2 linked regions of the Yarrowia lipolytica genome follow. The protein of the gene in region 1 purifies or fractionates together with the protein of each later gene. This does not show direct contact. Links are inferred from orthologs where the notes say so. Each region holds a gene or a part of one and is shown on either strand. Other genes may lie near its edges.

The links. The genes of interacting proteins can lie anywhere in the genome.
Region 2: the proteins of YALI1_A03422g (region 1) and YALI1_E13727g purify together in Saccharomyces cerevisiae (affinity purification with mass spectrometry; 5 studies listed by BioGRID, with this or other methods). This does not show direct contact. The link is inferred for Yarrowia lipolytica from reciprocal best matches to the Saccharomyces cerevisiae genes ARC35 and ARC15.

What each region holds. Positions count from the first base shown.
Region 1 is NC_090770.1:340,791-351,287, reverse strand, and holds YALI1_A03422g (uncharacterized protein), read left to right. Parts: upstream 1-9,028; coding exon 9,029-9,997; downstream 9,998-10,497. Other genes in the region: YALI1_A03512g (uncharacterized protein), read right to left, coding at 1-86; YALI1_A03507g (uncharacterized protein), read right to left, coding at 301-483, 528-584; YALI1_A03487g (uncharacterized protein), read left to right, coding at 2,513-2,860; YALI1_A03450g (uncharacterized protein), read right to left, coding at 4,698-6,203; YALI1_A03442g (uncharacterized protein), read right to left, coding at 6,531-7,076.
Region 2 is NC_090774.1:1,368,410-1,373,833, forward strand, and holds YALI1_E13727g (uncharacterized protein), read left to right. Parts: upstream 1-4,320; coding exon 4,321-4,539; intron 4,540-4,675; coding exon 4,676-4,924; downstream 4,925-5,424. Other genes in the region: YALI1_E13683g (uncharacterized protein), read left to right, coding at 1-498; YALI1_E13708g (uncharacterized protein), read right to left, coding at 759-2,414; YALI1_E13718g (uncharacterized protein), read right to left, coding at 2,775-3,383. UniProt on the Saccharomyces cerevisiae protein: Functions as a component of the Arp2/3 complex which is involved in regulation of actin polymerization and together with an activating nucleation-promoting factor (NPF) mediates the formation of branched actin networks.

The DNA.
Region 1 (10,497 bases):
TTGCGCTTCAGTTCGGGCTTGTATCCAATGTCGGCCAGGACCTGGTTGTCCAGGGTGTCGGGGGGTTTAGCCTCTGGGTCGTTCATGGTGGGTTTGGAGCAGCGGAAAAGGAGATGGTGAGGGGAGCGATGGCGATAAGGACAGGAGGGAAAAGCGACGACACTATGCCGACGACTGGTGAGTGATTTACTCGTCGAAATTTCCGATTCCACTTATATACAGTCGCTCAAACACTAACACTAAAGGCCCATGTTAGCTTTGGGGGGGGGGGGGGGGGCATGGTCGGGGCGTGTAGTGGGTTCAAAAAGGGCAGGAAGGGAGTGGGCGTTGGAGGGTATTGTGGTCGAGAAAACCTCGTCTGAGGGGCATTGCCAAGCCTGCCAAGACTCGAACAAGCAAACTTAGCCGCTTATCGCGCGTTATCGGGTCTTGGCCCGGGCTGGGACACACGTCTGGTGGTTGCGTGGTTGCGTGCGTCGCTATCTAGATAAGACAGGCTTCTGTTTCAAACTGTTTTTCAGAAAGACAAGTTTGGACGGCGCGAAGCTTGATTGGATTCGCCAATGGTAGCGGGGGGAGGTCATGGCGACTTGACGACCGTTGAGACTGAATCCGGGCGATATTATAGGCAGTTGAAATCGTAAAAAGTTGCAACAAACGCCCACCGGTCGAAGTCGCACCGATTCCGCGACTTTTGCGTCGTGTAGACGATGCGAGATGGCACGGCAGAAAGCACGGGAGCCGCAGTCAAGCCACACGTGTCGAATACATACATATATGAACGAGCGGACGAACCCGACATTCCTGATTGGATTAGGTTGGACAGAAAGAGAGACCGGCAAGTGAAATGAAATGAGATGGAACGGAATGGAGAAAGCTACCAGTACGAATAGTTATTCCGGGATTTGCCAGACATGGCGTATTAGTGTTGGTTGGGGAGACGTAATCGGTATGGGAGAGAAGTATGGGAGAAAAGTAATCGAGTTTTCTCGGCTCTTCGACGAGTCCGGCCAAAAAACAGTAAATACAAGCACTGATGTTGTCATATCATCTCTGTGGTAGCAAGATCCTTGTCCTTATTCTCCATATTCGCAACCTCTTGCATCACCAACAGTAATGTACAATACTGACAGTTAGTCCTCCTTCATTCACCAGACACCAACTTTCTTGTGCACTGATGACGTCACGAGAGCCAGAACCAAAGAATGGGAAAAAGAGAGAGATGAGTGGATCTGGGGAGGCGATTTGGTCCCTAAGACCTCATGACCTCTACGGAATTGAGATGATCTGCGGACGAGCAAGTTCCAACGTTCATTTTAGGGATGTTCTGGGCACTGAGAGATATGTTCCAGGCGTCCTTTGCAACGATTTTTTGGGCCTGGACATTTACCGGAGCATTTCCTCTTTTATAATCTCCTCAGGTCAGACAATGGTGTCAAATACTCTCCGCGGAGTAGTGTTATGCTGGAAAGAGTGACTCTAGATAGTGATACTCGCCAAGAGGGACAATAATGTAGTGTACTTGTACTAATAGTACCTTTTTCTGATGTAAACATTAGATGTTGCAACTCCTCAAAATCTCCTGGATCCCTCTAGTCTGGCTCTGTTGTTGTTACGTATTCCACTACAATTTGTTATAATTATAGTTGGTAATTACTTAAGATTGACTCCGTGAGCCGGTTGTCCGTCTTCGGAGACACCCAAGAGAATATGAGTATATCAGGAGATCGAAAAAGGTAACATTCCCGTCAAAATACATATCGTGGACATTTTTACAGTCATAAAATGCTCAGAGTGAGTCGAATTGGGTGAATAATTGTCATTTATGTGCCAAGACGGTTCTTTGAAGTTTTCAGATATGAGCACGAGAAGACGGTGCCTGCAATTGTACAACAGAAAAACACAGAATATTTTCACCATAGAATCATGGGCTTCTCAAAAAGCCCCGATCAGTGGATCAATTCCGCCACCTGGTTGTCATTATATTACACACCAGTACACATACGTACTGTACTGTACATACTGTACGTACCCAGTAACTCCCCAACAATTAAGTAAATAACCAGCTAAAGGTTTCCTTTTTCCAACAATAACGCCTTTCTCTACTTACCTTACTGCACTGTGCTGTTTTGTTCTCACCAATTTTTTTATTTTTCCAGATTTTAGTTCTATGAATTTTTTTATATTTTCTTTTTTTTATTTTTATTTTTTATTTTTCTTCCAAAACTCTACCCAGCCACGCGTGGCGCACTCAGACGGACCCTGTTGTCCAATTGACGGGCCAAAAACAAGCGGATTTTCTGTAAACAAAAACGAACGAAAAAAGGGCCCAAAATAGCTCGCTCCCCAACTCGTATCAACGCGCTCCGCTCGGTCTAAAAATACCTCCGGGCCAAAATAACCAAACACATGGGTCAAGGTTCTCACCATCTACCCTAACCGCGACCCCACCAACCATGTGTTTGAACCGCACCACCAGGTATACGATTTGCCGCTAGCTACACCAACAACAATGTCGTCCTCCATGCCGTACGACCCGTACGCCGGCGAGAGCCATGCGCAGACGCACCATACGGGCAACCACAAAACGGCCGCCATCCAGGCGCAAATCGACGATACCGTGGGCATCATGCGAGAGAACATCAACAAGGTGGCGGAGAGAGGAGAACGACTGGACTCGCTGCAAGATAAGACAGACAACCTGGCGGTGTCGGCCCAGGGCTTCCGACGAGGCGCCAACCGGGTGCGAAAGGCCATGTGGCTCAAGGACTTCAAGATGAAGGTCTGTCTGGTCATTGGAGTCATCATTCTGATTGTGGTGATTGTGGTTCCGATCGCGGTCCACTTTTCCGGACGATAGATAGACGTGGCGACACGACATGGGAGAGACGCACCTTTAGAGCAGACGTCCGCGCGTCGGGACTTATTAACGACTATATGAGAATAAATGCTAACTGTGTATGATAGATGGCATTTTCGTAGATCAGCTGGAACCGTCAATTGCTACAGTGCAAGGGCTAACAAGCGTTAGTCAGGGTTAACACTCGGTCGACTAACACTCGGTCGACTAACATTCGGTCTACTAGCACCCAGTCAAACAAACGCTCATTCGACCAACGCTCAACTAACACTCGGACGATCAGGGCGAGCGGTAGGTTCTACACAACAAGTACCACGGCATGATTGCATCAGGTGTCGTTCAATAGAATATCCAGACTGCCGAGAGGCTTCAGTAATGGATTCATTGAGATCGCGACTCCAGAGACAGATGTGCAGTGGAAGCACTGAGCTGCGGGTCAACACTCAACTCCATCGATCGATACGTGTGAGACAGAGTCGGATAGAAGACCGTAGCCGGGTTCAGATAAGTTGCTCTTGAGTTTATCACTATCGGCATTGTCGTAAGTAGATTGATCGCTTGAGAGCAAGTAGAACATCATTCTACTTAACTGTCGCCGAGGAATCTACTTTCCGTGCACCGACGAGATTTCCACCTTCTGTAGGAGTCACTTCCAAGCCAGTTTTTTCTCAAATACACCTTTCTGAATGCAATACTAGTACAGTACCGTAAGAATCGCTATCACCAGTTCGAACCCAAGATACAGTCCACATGTACAGATCTGCAGTTTGTGACGTCTGACTGCATATATCAAGTACTGATGGCATGTGGCTGAGCGATACGAGCTTGTGCGTAAAAGCACCTTAACAGCGATTTCAAAACCAGGCAGCGATGGTGGAGTGGTTATGATACTGACCCCCACAGACCCCCGTCTTTTATCTTATCAATCAGAAACCTTAATATATATAATTTTTCAAAAAAATATCAAGTGAATTTATATCAAATATGTCAGTGACTCGCAAATGGATTGGCGACTTACTACTGATCGGAGAGACCTTGTTCCCGTTTGTGGTGATAAATCCACAAGAGCAGGGGGATTTTTTCTGGCCAGATGATGACCTGATGTTGACCTGATGTGGGCTCAGTCCTACTCCTCCAAAGAGTCCTGTGGTGTTGTGAAGTCGGAACAAGCCCTATCCAGTCATGTGCAACCTATCCAGTCAAGTGGAGGTCGTTAATCTATGTACAAGTTTCCCTTGTGACTTACTGGGAAGACGTCCGATAACCACTCTGCAGTCTCTGAGACCACTTGTGGGATGACACTTTGTCCTGAACACTGCATCAAGTTGACCATCGTAAAGTCTTCGAACTTGTCTGGTGCTCGGAAGGACGCTCGATCTTACTTTTCTCTCCTTATCCGTGTTCAACAGGGTGGGTTTATCAGCGCGGTCAGGATTCACCCGGCATACAGACCTCAGAGACTTCGTGGTAGTCTGGCACACAGAGCCACAGGGACTTTGTTATCGTCCTGAACAGATATTGACTCCTTGTCAGGATGCTCGTCTTCATCATTAACGGCACTTCTTGGTGTATTCAGGCTCCTTATAGTCATTATCGGGATTGAGCTTCATTCGCTCCTTGGGAGACAGGTTCTCGTAGTCTTCATTTTGGTCAAACGTGCAACAGGCCAGTCTGTTCAGCGGGTGTCCAATATCTAGGTGGTGTTGGCTCGGAGATAGAGATAGTGATACACTCACCATTCTTCAGCTTCTGACAGTATACTGGTCTACTTGTTTCGTCAAGTTTCACGGCTCATTCCTCGCACAACAATCACATCAATTACAACTAATCTCATCACCTACAGCAAATACACGAAGGCCCCGTGACTCGTCTTCAGCTTAAGCACCACCACCAGGGCGGCGGTGAATACAACGCCGGCAATCATAAACGCCATATTGACCCAGGCGGCTTTCACAAACAGAGGAGCGGCGGTGGCGACCCATGTTCGCAGAACAATGACTCCATACCAGTTAGTGATGAAGGTGAAAACGGCAAAGCTCATGAGTCTTCTGTTTCTTCCTTGGACGTTGCTCCCCAGCCAGCAGGCGAGAGTAGGCATGGCAGCGACCATGTTGGGGATAATGAACCACGCTCCTCCATATTTGATCCAAAAGTTCTTGTGGCTGGGCGTGCACAGAACGAGAGCCCATCCAATGATAGCAAACAGGTAGTTCGCCAGCAGGAACGGGTAGTTGGTCTTGTACTTAGTGGAGAACCAGTTTTGAACTAGACAGTAGAAGCAACTCCACACCAGAATGGGCCAAACGATGCATTGACCTAGAGCTGGTGAGTATTTGAGCACGTGCAGAGTCACGGTCATGAGCTCTCCATAGCACGAAAAGATACCATTGTAAGTAAAGAGACCCATGGCACCGGTGAGCCAGACAATGGGGTCTTTGAGAGCCATTCCAAGGCCCTGAATGACTGTCTCGATGGGCTCGATCGGGTTTCCTCCAGCATAGTGTTTTTCGGTGATTTTCTTGAACAGCTGGTATCCGTCTTCACCATGTTTTCTGATCCATCTGGGGTGGTAGAAGTAGTCTGGCAGCAATCTCCACACCAGAGGAGCCTGAAGACAGCCACAGATTCCGGTGATGAAAAACATCCACGCCCAACCGGGCTTTCCGTCTGTAATCAGACCAAGTGCAATGGCGATGAGGGCAAACAGCGGTACCATGAACCAAGATACTGCCCAGGAGCAGGCAATGACAAACTGTCCCTCGAATCTTCCATGAGACTCGTATGTAACCTGAAGAATTACAGGTAGCGCAACACTCATGACGGCCCCCATAATCACTCTGTCCGCTGTAAGACCTCCGTAATTGACACAGATGCCCAACAGTGTGCAACAGAGACCCCAGATGAACATTTGGACTCCAGCAAACACGCGCGGGTTCGATTTAGCAAACAGCAAAGCCATAGGAATTACAAAGACAGCGTAGGTGAAGTATAGTGCTGCCTGCGACCATTCATATTCAGAGGGGGTGAGTTTCAGAAAAGGCTCAATTCCTCCCGTGACAGTCACTCCAATCACGTCCCTTGAAACAATATGAGAAGCAAGAAAAACTTGGAATTGGCAACCAACGGCTATACTTCTGTGTAATTTCAGATGGCCCTCTTTCTTCTTTGAAATGGAGACGTCTGACACTTGTCCAGAAGTGACGCTGTGTTGGACATAAAGATCGTCTGTCTTGGTCTCTTCCAGATGCTCAACTGACGGCTTGTCATCTTCCAGGTGTTCAATGGAGTGTTTGGTGTCCTCGAGATGTTCAATTGAGGTCTTTGGGAAGGTTGATTCGTTCATTTTTACTGCTCTACACACACCCCCAACATGGCTATATAGGAAACCAGTACAAGGCGAGTACAAGGAGCTCAGCAAACTCAGAAGACTCAGCAGAAGTCCACATTAAGTTGGATTGTGGGGAATGATATGGTACTGTGGGGTAGGAGGGGTGTCGGTGAGGTTTTATTGGGATATAAGTTGATTGTTGGACAATCTTTGCTTACTCTAGACGTAAACTCGCAGAACCACGCAATTGTGACCTCAATACAGCGAACCAACGGGACAGGACTGTTCGAAACTGTCTCCACAATCAAAAGGACCCACCCAATGCTAATTGTATCCTTGCTACTACATAGTTACAGTTGCAAATAAACAATCTAGCCGCGTCAGGTGTGTACGGCGGTGGGAGGTGTACCTACGAATGCCTACAGGTTGAATTAGAACTTGTGTCAACGTAACTTCGGCCGAAACCTGTCGGACAATGGGAATTACATCCAGATAACCAGTCTTGGCATTTGCTCCCCTCACTCTGTTGTCGGGGTCTGCATTTTCCGGACTTCCGTCTGCAGTGCCCCCCACCTTCTTTGTCTCACGAGAGGTTCTCCTGTACCACCCAAGAAGCGTTACAGTAGGAGAAAGGAAGGGGGAAACCCGTTCAGATCGGCTTTGATAAGGGATCTGTATGATCACTTGTCTAGTTTTTCTTCCTCTTTTGCTCTCAATACCTCTTTTATCGACTATTCCCCTCGCCTTAACGAGAACCCTGTCGGCGACTAACTTCAATCCTACCCCACACATCTGCAACAGATGGAACATACAGATGGGGGTTTTGAACATTAATCGACTTTGAACTGGCCATCTGTTGTTGAATGAAGAGGGGACGGTGAGGTGCATGGTCGGTTGCTTATGGTATTCGTACTTGGAAACTACAAGTTCTTGACCTTCCGAGCGTTGCGCCGTTCGCCATTAGTGCAACAGATGCCATTCTACTGCCCGTTCAAAGCTCGATAAAAGCTTTCGAATCCCACCATCCGGTCGACTAAATAGGTTCCACTGCCCCGTATTGCTCCCAGAATCTGCCCTTAGATCGACTATAACTGACTGCTAAACCTACAAGTAGAGCCCCACAGGAGAGTCCGTCCAACATCTCATGTCCTGCCAGACAGGGTGTTGAAACAGACAAGTACAGTATGTACACGTGATTTAAGGGACTGGATAAATTGTTGCAAGGCGTAAAAGCAAGGTGGAGGGGATGACAGATAAAAAAATAAAAAAAAAAAAACAATTAGGACTGATTTTCGAGGGCATCTAAAAAAGGGGCCGAGCAGGGATTTGAACCCTGGACCTCTCACACCCAAAGCGAGAATCATAGCTACTAGACCACACGGCCGAAAATCTTAAAATCACGTGAAAAAATACGGTCAAGAGACTAAAAAAGTGATTTTGAATTTTTCTTTGATTTTGACGCCCTTATCGACATTGTACAAAGTAAATAACATCGGATATTTATTCTCAAAGACCAAAAGTATCCCCTAGTAGCTTTTTACTCGAGTAGAACCGATATTAAGTTAATAATTTTGGTGTCGAAGTTGCATCTTTACGTTGAATTTTGGTATGGTAATAACATGCTGTAATGCATCATTAGAATAATAAAAAAAGTGGTTATTGTCATGATATTGAGTCAAATGAATAAAAATTGTTCTATTGAATGAACTTGCAGAGCCAGTGGCAAAAAAACTACATTTAAATCGGATCCATGGTGCAATTGGAGGTGTCTGTAAGTGGTCTTGTACGAACTGTGAACTGTACTTGCTACATACTGCACTAGTATGTACTGCAAACCGGAGTGATATTGTGAAACCAGAGCAATGACGGAGTGAAACAATTGAATCTGGTCCCCCAATTGGGCATTCTATGTCCGTGTTTTCAGGTTAAAACGTCTGGGATCATGTTCGTAGTCCTCCGAGTCCAAGCTCAGAACCATGATCTGATTAGAATCAGAGCTAAGAGGAACGTAACACTTTAGATGGTTAGTCTCTGAGACAGATGAACTGGGAGGTACTGTACTGAATGGATAGAGACTTGTTCGCGTTCAGTGCGAGTACAGTGTACGAAGGTCTGGCTAGAGACTGTGAAGAACAGCACGGGTCATACTGTAGTGAAGCATCGTAAAGGTGCTCCAGCCGTGAAAGACTTCGATATAGGGTGGAATACTTTGACAGAGTGGAATACTTCAATATAGGGGGAATATCAGTGATGTGAGACATCCCATTATACATGTTCCCGTGTCACTCGTGATAGAGTTCAAGTAAAATGTCAAGCATACTCCCAAGTAAACTGTTCCTAACAATGGATTATCAAGGTCGGGGTTTCACCTCCGTGTCCAATTGGGACCCCATCTATCCATCGGCGTCTCCAGCATATGTCACCAATTACCTTCACCGCTGTAATTGACTACTCCGGCTACAATTACTCGTACTTGCACAGTACTCGCACAAGTATCAACTCCTACATCCGCAACCCAGAGGGCTTATCTCCGAGTGAGTGCATAAACAGTGGTGTGAAGGTCATCTAGCGAGTCTGCAACTGCGGCAAATAATAACACTGGGGGAAGATTTTGGGTGACACGTGATCAATCACAAGCTCGAGGAATATAATTGTCATTTTCTCCGTATATAATCTGCTCTTGGTGCCACCAGTTTTCGCGCGGTTCGTCCCCAGCTTCCCATTAGAGTTCTGACTAACCAACGATATTAACGCAGTGGTACAGCACACATCTCCACGTTGACTATACACCCACTGCGAGACCCAGCACTCCCACACAGCACTCCACAAGACCCGCCAACATGCTTATGCTCCAGTACCAAAACCTGCTGCTGCAATCGGTGCTCAGCGAGCGTCTGGACCCCGAAACCCCGCCATTGGGCATCGATCAGGTGGTGTCGGACTTCGACAATGTCACCTTCCACATCTCCAACCCGGACCCCAAGGACAAGACGGTCATCATGGTGTCCATGTACATCAAGTGTTTCCAGGATCTGGTCAAGTGCGGCGCCAAGAAGATTCTGGAGCGGGAGTATGGCCCCTACCTGACCGAGCCCGAGCCTGGATACGACGTTTCGCTGCTGCTCAACCTCACAGACGGCTCCATCCCCTCGGACCCCGAGCAGCGAGACGAGCTTGTCAACAAGATTGCACTGCTCAAGAGAAACACGTTTGCTGCTCCATTCGAAAAGGCCTTTGACAAGTTCGACCAGCTGGCCGAGGAGGCTGCTGCCGAGGGCAAGGACCTGTACGCCCCCCAAAAGTCCGATAACGAGGTCATGGCGATCCACTACCGAGACGAGGAGTCCATCTACGTGCGACCGAGCTACGACCGAGTCACCGTCATCTTCTCCACCATCTTCAAGGACGAGACTGACCGAATCTTTGGAAAGGTGTTCCTGCAGGAATTCGTTGACGCTCGACGAAGAGCCATCCAAAACGCCCCCCAGGTGCTGTACACGCAAAAGGAGCCGCCGCTGGAGATCAGAGACGTTGTCAAGCCCTCTTCTAACGCCGACAACATGGGATACGTCACCTTTGTGCTTTTCCCCCGACATCTTGTGGCCTCTCGACGAGAGAACTGTATCTCGCACATCCAAATCTTCCGAGACTACTTCCACTACCATATCAAGTGTTCCAAGGCCTATATGCACTCGCGAATGCGATTCCGAGTGAGCGAGTTCCTCAAGGTGCTGAACCGAGCAAAGCAGGAGAATGTGGTCAAGGAGAAGAAGACCGCCAGTGGAAGAACCTTCAAGCATCCCAACTAGGTGGCCAGTAACTTGACGTAGCGTGCTGCTGATTGACTTCTCTTCATCTAACGGTCGGAACTAGCTATGCATCGGTATGTCTCCATGTACCATTGTAATGAATATGATATGAATAACAACTGACTGTAGTGAAGGTGTATGGAAGGCATTATCGAGATAGATTGGCGTGGGTACTGGTACGGTAACCACTCTGAAGAGTTTGATTGTTACGTGTATTTTAAATCAATATGACCAGGCTCGATGACTTTGTAGATGAGCAGGCCATTTTCCCGTCCTGACCAGGATAACCACGTTCATGATCCCAGATAGCAAGTGTTCGGGAGAATAATCCGGAACATGACATTGTCACAGGATAAGCGACTTCAACTGTGCAACTACTCAATAATAGCACCTTTTTACGACTCTGCTTCCAGTAAGTCCCTCACTGGAACCTCCTCTACATCCCATTATTTACAGAATCACCGCATCCCGAAAACCATCACATACACAGCTCACGACGT
Region 2 (5,424 bases), on another chromosome or scaffold:
GACGCTTTTCAACAGGTGCGTCAGTTCAACTCCGCGGTGTGGCTCTGTCGAGCACCAGTAGTCAATGGATACATTGACGAGGCGAGCCACGAGTGCGTAAACCTGCTCAAGGACGGTAAATGCGCCGCCGTGGCAATATCGATTCACAACTCGGCTTCCAAACACGTTGCTACGATACCAATCAAGTTCAACATTCCTGTTGTACCGGAGTCTGACCAAACAGTGCCAGTGACCGACGCTCCCACACTGATCGAGGACCTCCAACTCGAATTCAACGCGTTCTTCACACGTCTGGCTAACTACGGGCCAAATTTCAACCCTTCCAAGTTGGAACATACGTTCAAGATCCAATGTGAGCTGGAAGGACGCCATACTCTGGAGGGCTGGATATCATCAGAGGCTCAAAGTAGCAAACAAGTCCCAGGATTGGAAGATGTCGTGGTCAGAAAGATCGAAACAGGACCCATAGAGGTTGTTTCTTGGTTGGAATATGTGTAACTGGGCTACTGGTGATATAATCGGCCATTTCACCGATGATAGTCGACCACTTCACCGATGATGATCCTTACAACAGTCGGTCACAAGGGGACTCGTCATATACATTATGCGTCCATATTGCGATCTAATATTTTTATTCGTACACCCTCAGTCCATTCCTACAAGTACTTGTTCTATGCTCTATTATATTCAACATGCGTTATGTTATGCTTCTACTATAGGTCCGGTGCTGTACATGAGCAATGATGGTTACTCCAGCATTACTCCAACCCCAACATGGTCTTGGTATTCTCGTAGACCAAATAACTTATACTGACGGCAGGAGCCACCTTGGCAAGGTTGGGAGCCAGACCTCTAAACAGACCCCGGTAACCGTCCTTGGTCACCGCCTTGTGGTATGCATCCATGATGCCAGTGTACGTCTGAGGATGAGCAGCAGTTCCCTGGGCCTGGAGACGGGTTCGCAGCAGGTTGATGGGGTACACAACCGTGGCTCCGACGGAACCGGATAATGCGCCCATGGTCAGAACGGCCATGTTACCAATCTTGACGTCAGAGTTCTCGCAGCCCAGTCGCTTTGCCTCTCGGGTAATGTATCCTCGCTTCATGACCTCAAATGTTCCTAGATCAAGCGCGGCATAAGGGAAAATGCCTCCCAGACCAGCCCACAGACCCCTGTAGTAGGTGGCCAGACCTCCGTTTCTCCACATCTGCTTCATTGTGTGCCACAGAAGCGCATTGCCCTGAAGAGCGCCGGTGGGGGGCTCGCACTGGATTCGGAACTTGAGCGTATCGATGGGGTAGACCACAAACTGCGACACGACACCTCCGATACCTCCGGCCAGAAAAGTTGATGCACGGGACAAGTCAGCAGTGTCCTCCACTCCCTCCAGCTGGCACAGAAACTTTTTGGCGGTCTCGAACGAGCCAAACTTCATGGCCGACTCGGGAATCACCTTGAACACGTTGAGACCGTTACCAATGAAGAACGACCGGATTCCTCCCTCGGCCCAAATGTTCTTGATGGCATTGATCAGCACGTGGTGTCGGGCCATGAACCCCGACGGGGGCTTTGCCTTGGATGCGTTCTTGGCAATGCTCTCATAGACGGCCTCCGAGGCTCCTGAAGCAGCGGCTGTGGTTGCGGGAGTGATAGGATCGGCAATCAGGTAGACCTTGAGCCGATCCAGAGGAGCGGTGGCTGTTCGGGAGATGGCTCCGGCAAGACCGCCAGCCAGAAAGTACCCCAGACCTTGTAATACGTCTCTGTGAAAAATCACGTCTCCTTCGGAGCTGAGATCCAGCTCCTCTACAAAAAATTTGTAGGCGGCCTTGAGGGTAGAGCCGGCCTCATTTGGGACCAGCAGCAGGAAGTCGCGCCACTCGTCGAAACAAATGTATCCGTCCTTGTCTCGATCGAGGGCCTTGAAGAAGTCGTCTATCGTGTCGCTGTCCATGTCTCCCAGTCCCACAGCTGCCATTCCGTCGGCCAGCTCCTCTCTATCCAGCTTACCGTCTCCCTTGTCGTCGATGATGTGGAACAGGTAGACCAGGTTCTGTTCCGTGAGCTCCAGGTACGACTGGAACTCGGACAGGTCCACGAGACCGTCCTCATTTGTGTCCATAAGATTCACCAGGTTGCCCACCAGCGAGTCTGCGTTTCGCAGCGTGTGCGACTCGGGCACAGATCCACCGAGCGAGCCACTGAAGGCTGCCACAAAGTCCTCCTTGGACAGTTGGCCCTTGCCCTCTCGATCCAGTTTGCGGAACATGCGTTCATAGCGTGCGCTCCGTTGTTCCGGGGTTTCTCCGGTCGAAAGCGCCAGCTGCTGTTGTTTTTCCGCCTTGAGAAGCTGTGCCTGGGCCTGCTCGGCGCTCTTGTGTGTGTGTTCGGCGGCTTTTGTCGGCTCCGTCATTGTGTGGTGTCTGTAGAATGTAGGTGTGTTTTTTTTTTGTGAGTGGTTGGTTCCGATTCTGCCCGAAAAATTCACGTGTTCCTAGGTCACGTGGGCTCTATGCGTGTAAAGCGGGGGATGTGGTATTCGCCTTGTTCGCCTCGGTCTCGTGCCTCTTGCTTCCTGGTCGCTGGTAGCGTTGCTTCTTGAGGCCTGGTGGAGTATTAGTGTAGGTGGTGATGCAAAGAAAATTCAAAAAAAGAAGTCAAATGCAAACCATGTTATGTAAGTGGTTGGTGGGGTGAAAGGGGCCCAAAGGGGAGCAAATATACAATTAAAAACATGAAAATCATATCTTGACCCTGTATCCCTTCGAATAGATCACGTGACATGTCGCCAAACCGTCCCTATCATCGCGTTGTATGGAACATCAACTCCCCCCCTCATCGACAGACACACCCTATACAGAATAGACACTGTATGATTGGGTTGCGAATAGAAGGGACCTTCCAATGAATGACTACCAGTACATCTACGTACGAGTAGACATGGGGCCTGCCAAAGGTGGGTCACATGACCTCGAGTTGCGCGATTGGAGCAATCGATAAATTTGAGAGAAGTCGGCTCTATACCTCCACTCTTGCTACATCCCGCGCACCCCACAGTAGAGTCTGACTGGCATGTTTGCTCGGTACACATGATTTTAACCTCTTCAATATATATACTCGGGCTAGCGTCGGAGTCTAACGTCTGGGGTTTTGAGGTGTGTTTCTGAGTCTGACAAGGCAGCTGGTAAGGATTTTTGTGTTTGCTGGATCGGGTGTTGGTGGTCATAGGGCAGTTATTGTGCTCTATCAGGTCAATTTCACCCTTGGTGGTGCTCTGTTCCCCCTCAGTGGGCAATGTGTTCACGCATCTTGACCCTACATTCACCGCTTTCTCCTGCCACCTTTTTCTCCACATCGAAGTCCACCGCCAAATGCACGTCATGCTTATTTGGTTCGGAATTGATTTCCTTTTTGAGAGGCCTGCAAATGGTCTCGATGGAGTATCTTAGCGAGATGAGACGCCGGCTCAGATAGATACCCGCCGACACTGCGCAATTTCGCTCTTCACAGAGAGAGCTGCCGTTAGCAGTAGTTGTTGGTTGTATCTCACTAGCAAGAACGTGATTGTTGATGCGTAGGCCTCTTTCGAAATAGAGATCGTACAGTAGCTACTTTGTAGCCAACAGACAACAGAGATAGACAGATAGCTTATCTGGCGTGTTGACAGGTCACGTGGCAAAAGGCAGTCCCGGTCACGTGCTCTTATTTCACACGCAGGGTGTATTTTATTGATTTTGATAGCCGTCTGCTGTCATTCCGCAATCACATGATGCGCCAACGCTTTTCTGTAGTCCAGTAATCGCTTGGTCCTGGATGGTGTTCATAAATGCACTATGGTGAGCTTATTTCTGCGGTTGATGACTCGGGCCATCCTGTGTGTCTTGTGGTTGTGTGTTCGAAGCCGAGCGGGGTTCCTTTGTGGTGTATTTGTGGGGTTTGATGGTTTGATTCTAGAGCTTTTGAGGGAGCTCCATGTCAATTGACTTGGAAACGAGTACAGGTGCTCAAATACGACTTTCTCTGGTACACATGCCTTCATTACTCCAATTTTGGACAATATCGGACCTAGAACCTGATTGGGGAAAGATACAAGAGATTTGAATATATCCCAGTGAATCTCATGTCACGAGCTATCCGCTGGTATAATCACATCTGGAATAATGCGTCATCTACCCCCATTTCAAGTCATCGGATATCACCTCTAACTTGCCCTACCATTCATCCTCCCAAACTCTGATAATGCATACAGCACAGCACATCACCAAATCCCACTCACCTGCAAATAACTCACGAGCAGCACACACCACACATCACACACCATGTCGCAGATTGATTTCCGAAGAATTGACGTCGACCAGTACGACCCAGACTCGTTCATCTCCAAGGAGGATCTCACTCCTCCCTGCAAGCCCGTCTCTGCCGCTGAGCAGCAACAGGTGGCCACGGAAATCCGAGGAGCCATTTCTCGAGGAGAGGCCAAGGCTGCCCTTCCCATTGCGCTGGACTTTGCTCCTTACGGTGGTGATGACAAGGTAAAGGTGAGTATGGAGCGGTGGAAACGATTGCTCTTGGCAGCAAGTGAAACCCCCATCAGCTCGTGATCAACCGACATCTGGGGACACAATCAGTTGTCTTTTAAATGTAACAACCGCCAGACCCCACGTACTAACCCAGGACGCCCACCTCAAGTCTGTAATTGAGGTTCTGAGCGCAACCAAATCGGCCGAGATCCCATCCGTGGTCAAGGCTCTCAACAAGGAACAGCAGGATGTGCTCATCAAGTACCTGTACAAGGCCATGGGCTCGCCACAGGGCCAGTCCCAAGGAGTCGGCGCCATCCTACTTGCCTGGTACGAGAAGACCGTGGACATCACCGGACAGGGAGCCGTCGTTCGATACATGTCTGATCGACGAACTGTTTAAGCGAGTTTAAGCGACTACAAGCCCCTCGAACAGCGGATGGATGTGGGTAAATATTATGAGGTTCTCTCGCAATTGTAAACTACAAGCGTTGCAGATCAATCATATAACGGTAGCAGTGCTAATGATGTAAATGAATGTAAACTATCATCTTTGTTTGGACAAAATCAAGTGTAGACTGCAAGTCAGTGTTCTTGTGTAGAGCCTATCGAAGAGCTGCTTCAGTCTATGTCGTCCATTGGCCAGTACCAACGGTGAATAATGTGTGAGTTCACTTGTCATAGACACAGTGGATCTGCCAACTATCAATATTGTTAATGTATGGACCTTCACGTTCCCTCCACGACATGGCATCGTCTAAGATGATGCCCCTTGGGTTGTCATTGTCTTCTTACATATGATCATCCAATTGACTAGTAAAAACTGTAGGTGGGTATGAGATCAACTGTTAGGACCACTTTCCATCTACCACTTGAATGATATCATGATTATTTATGTAATTA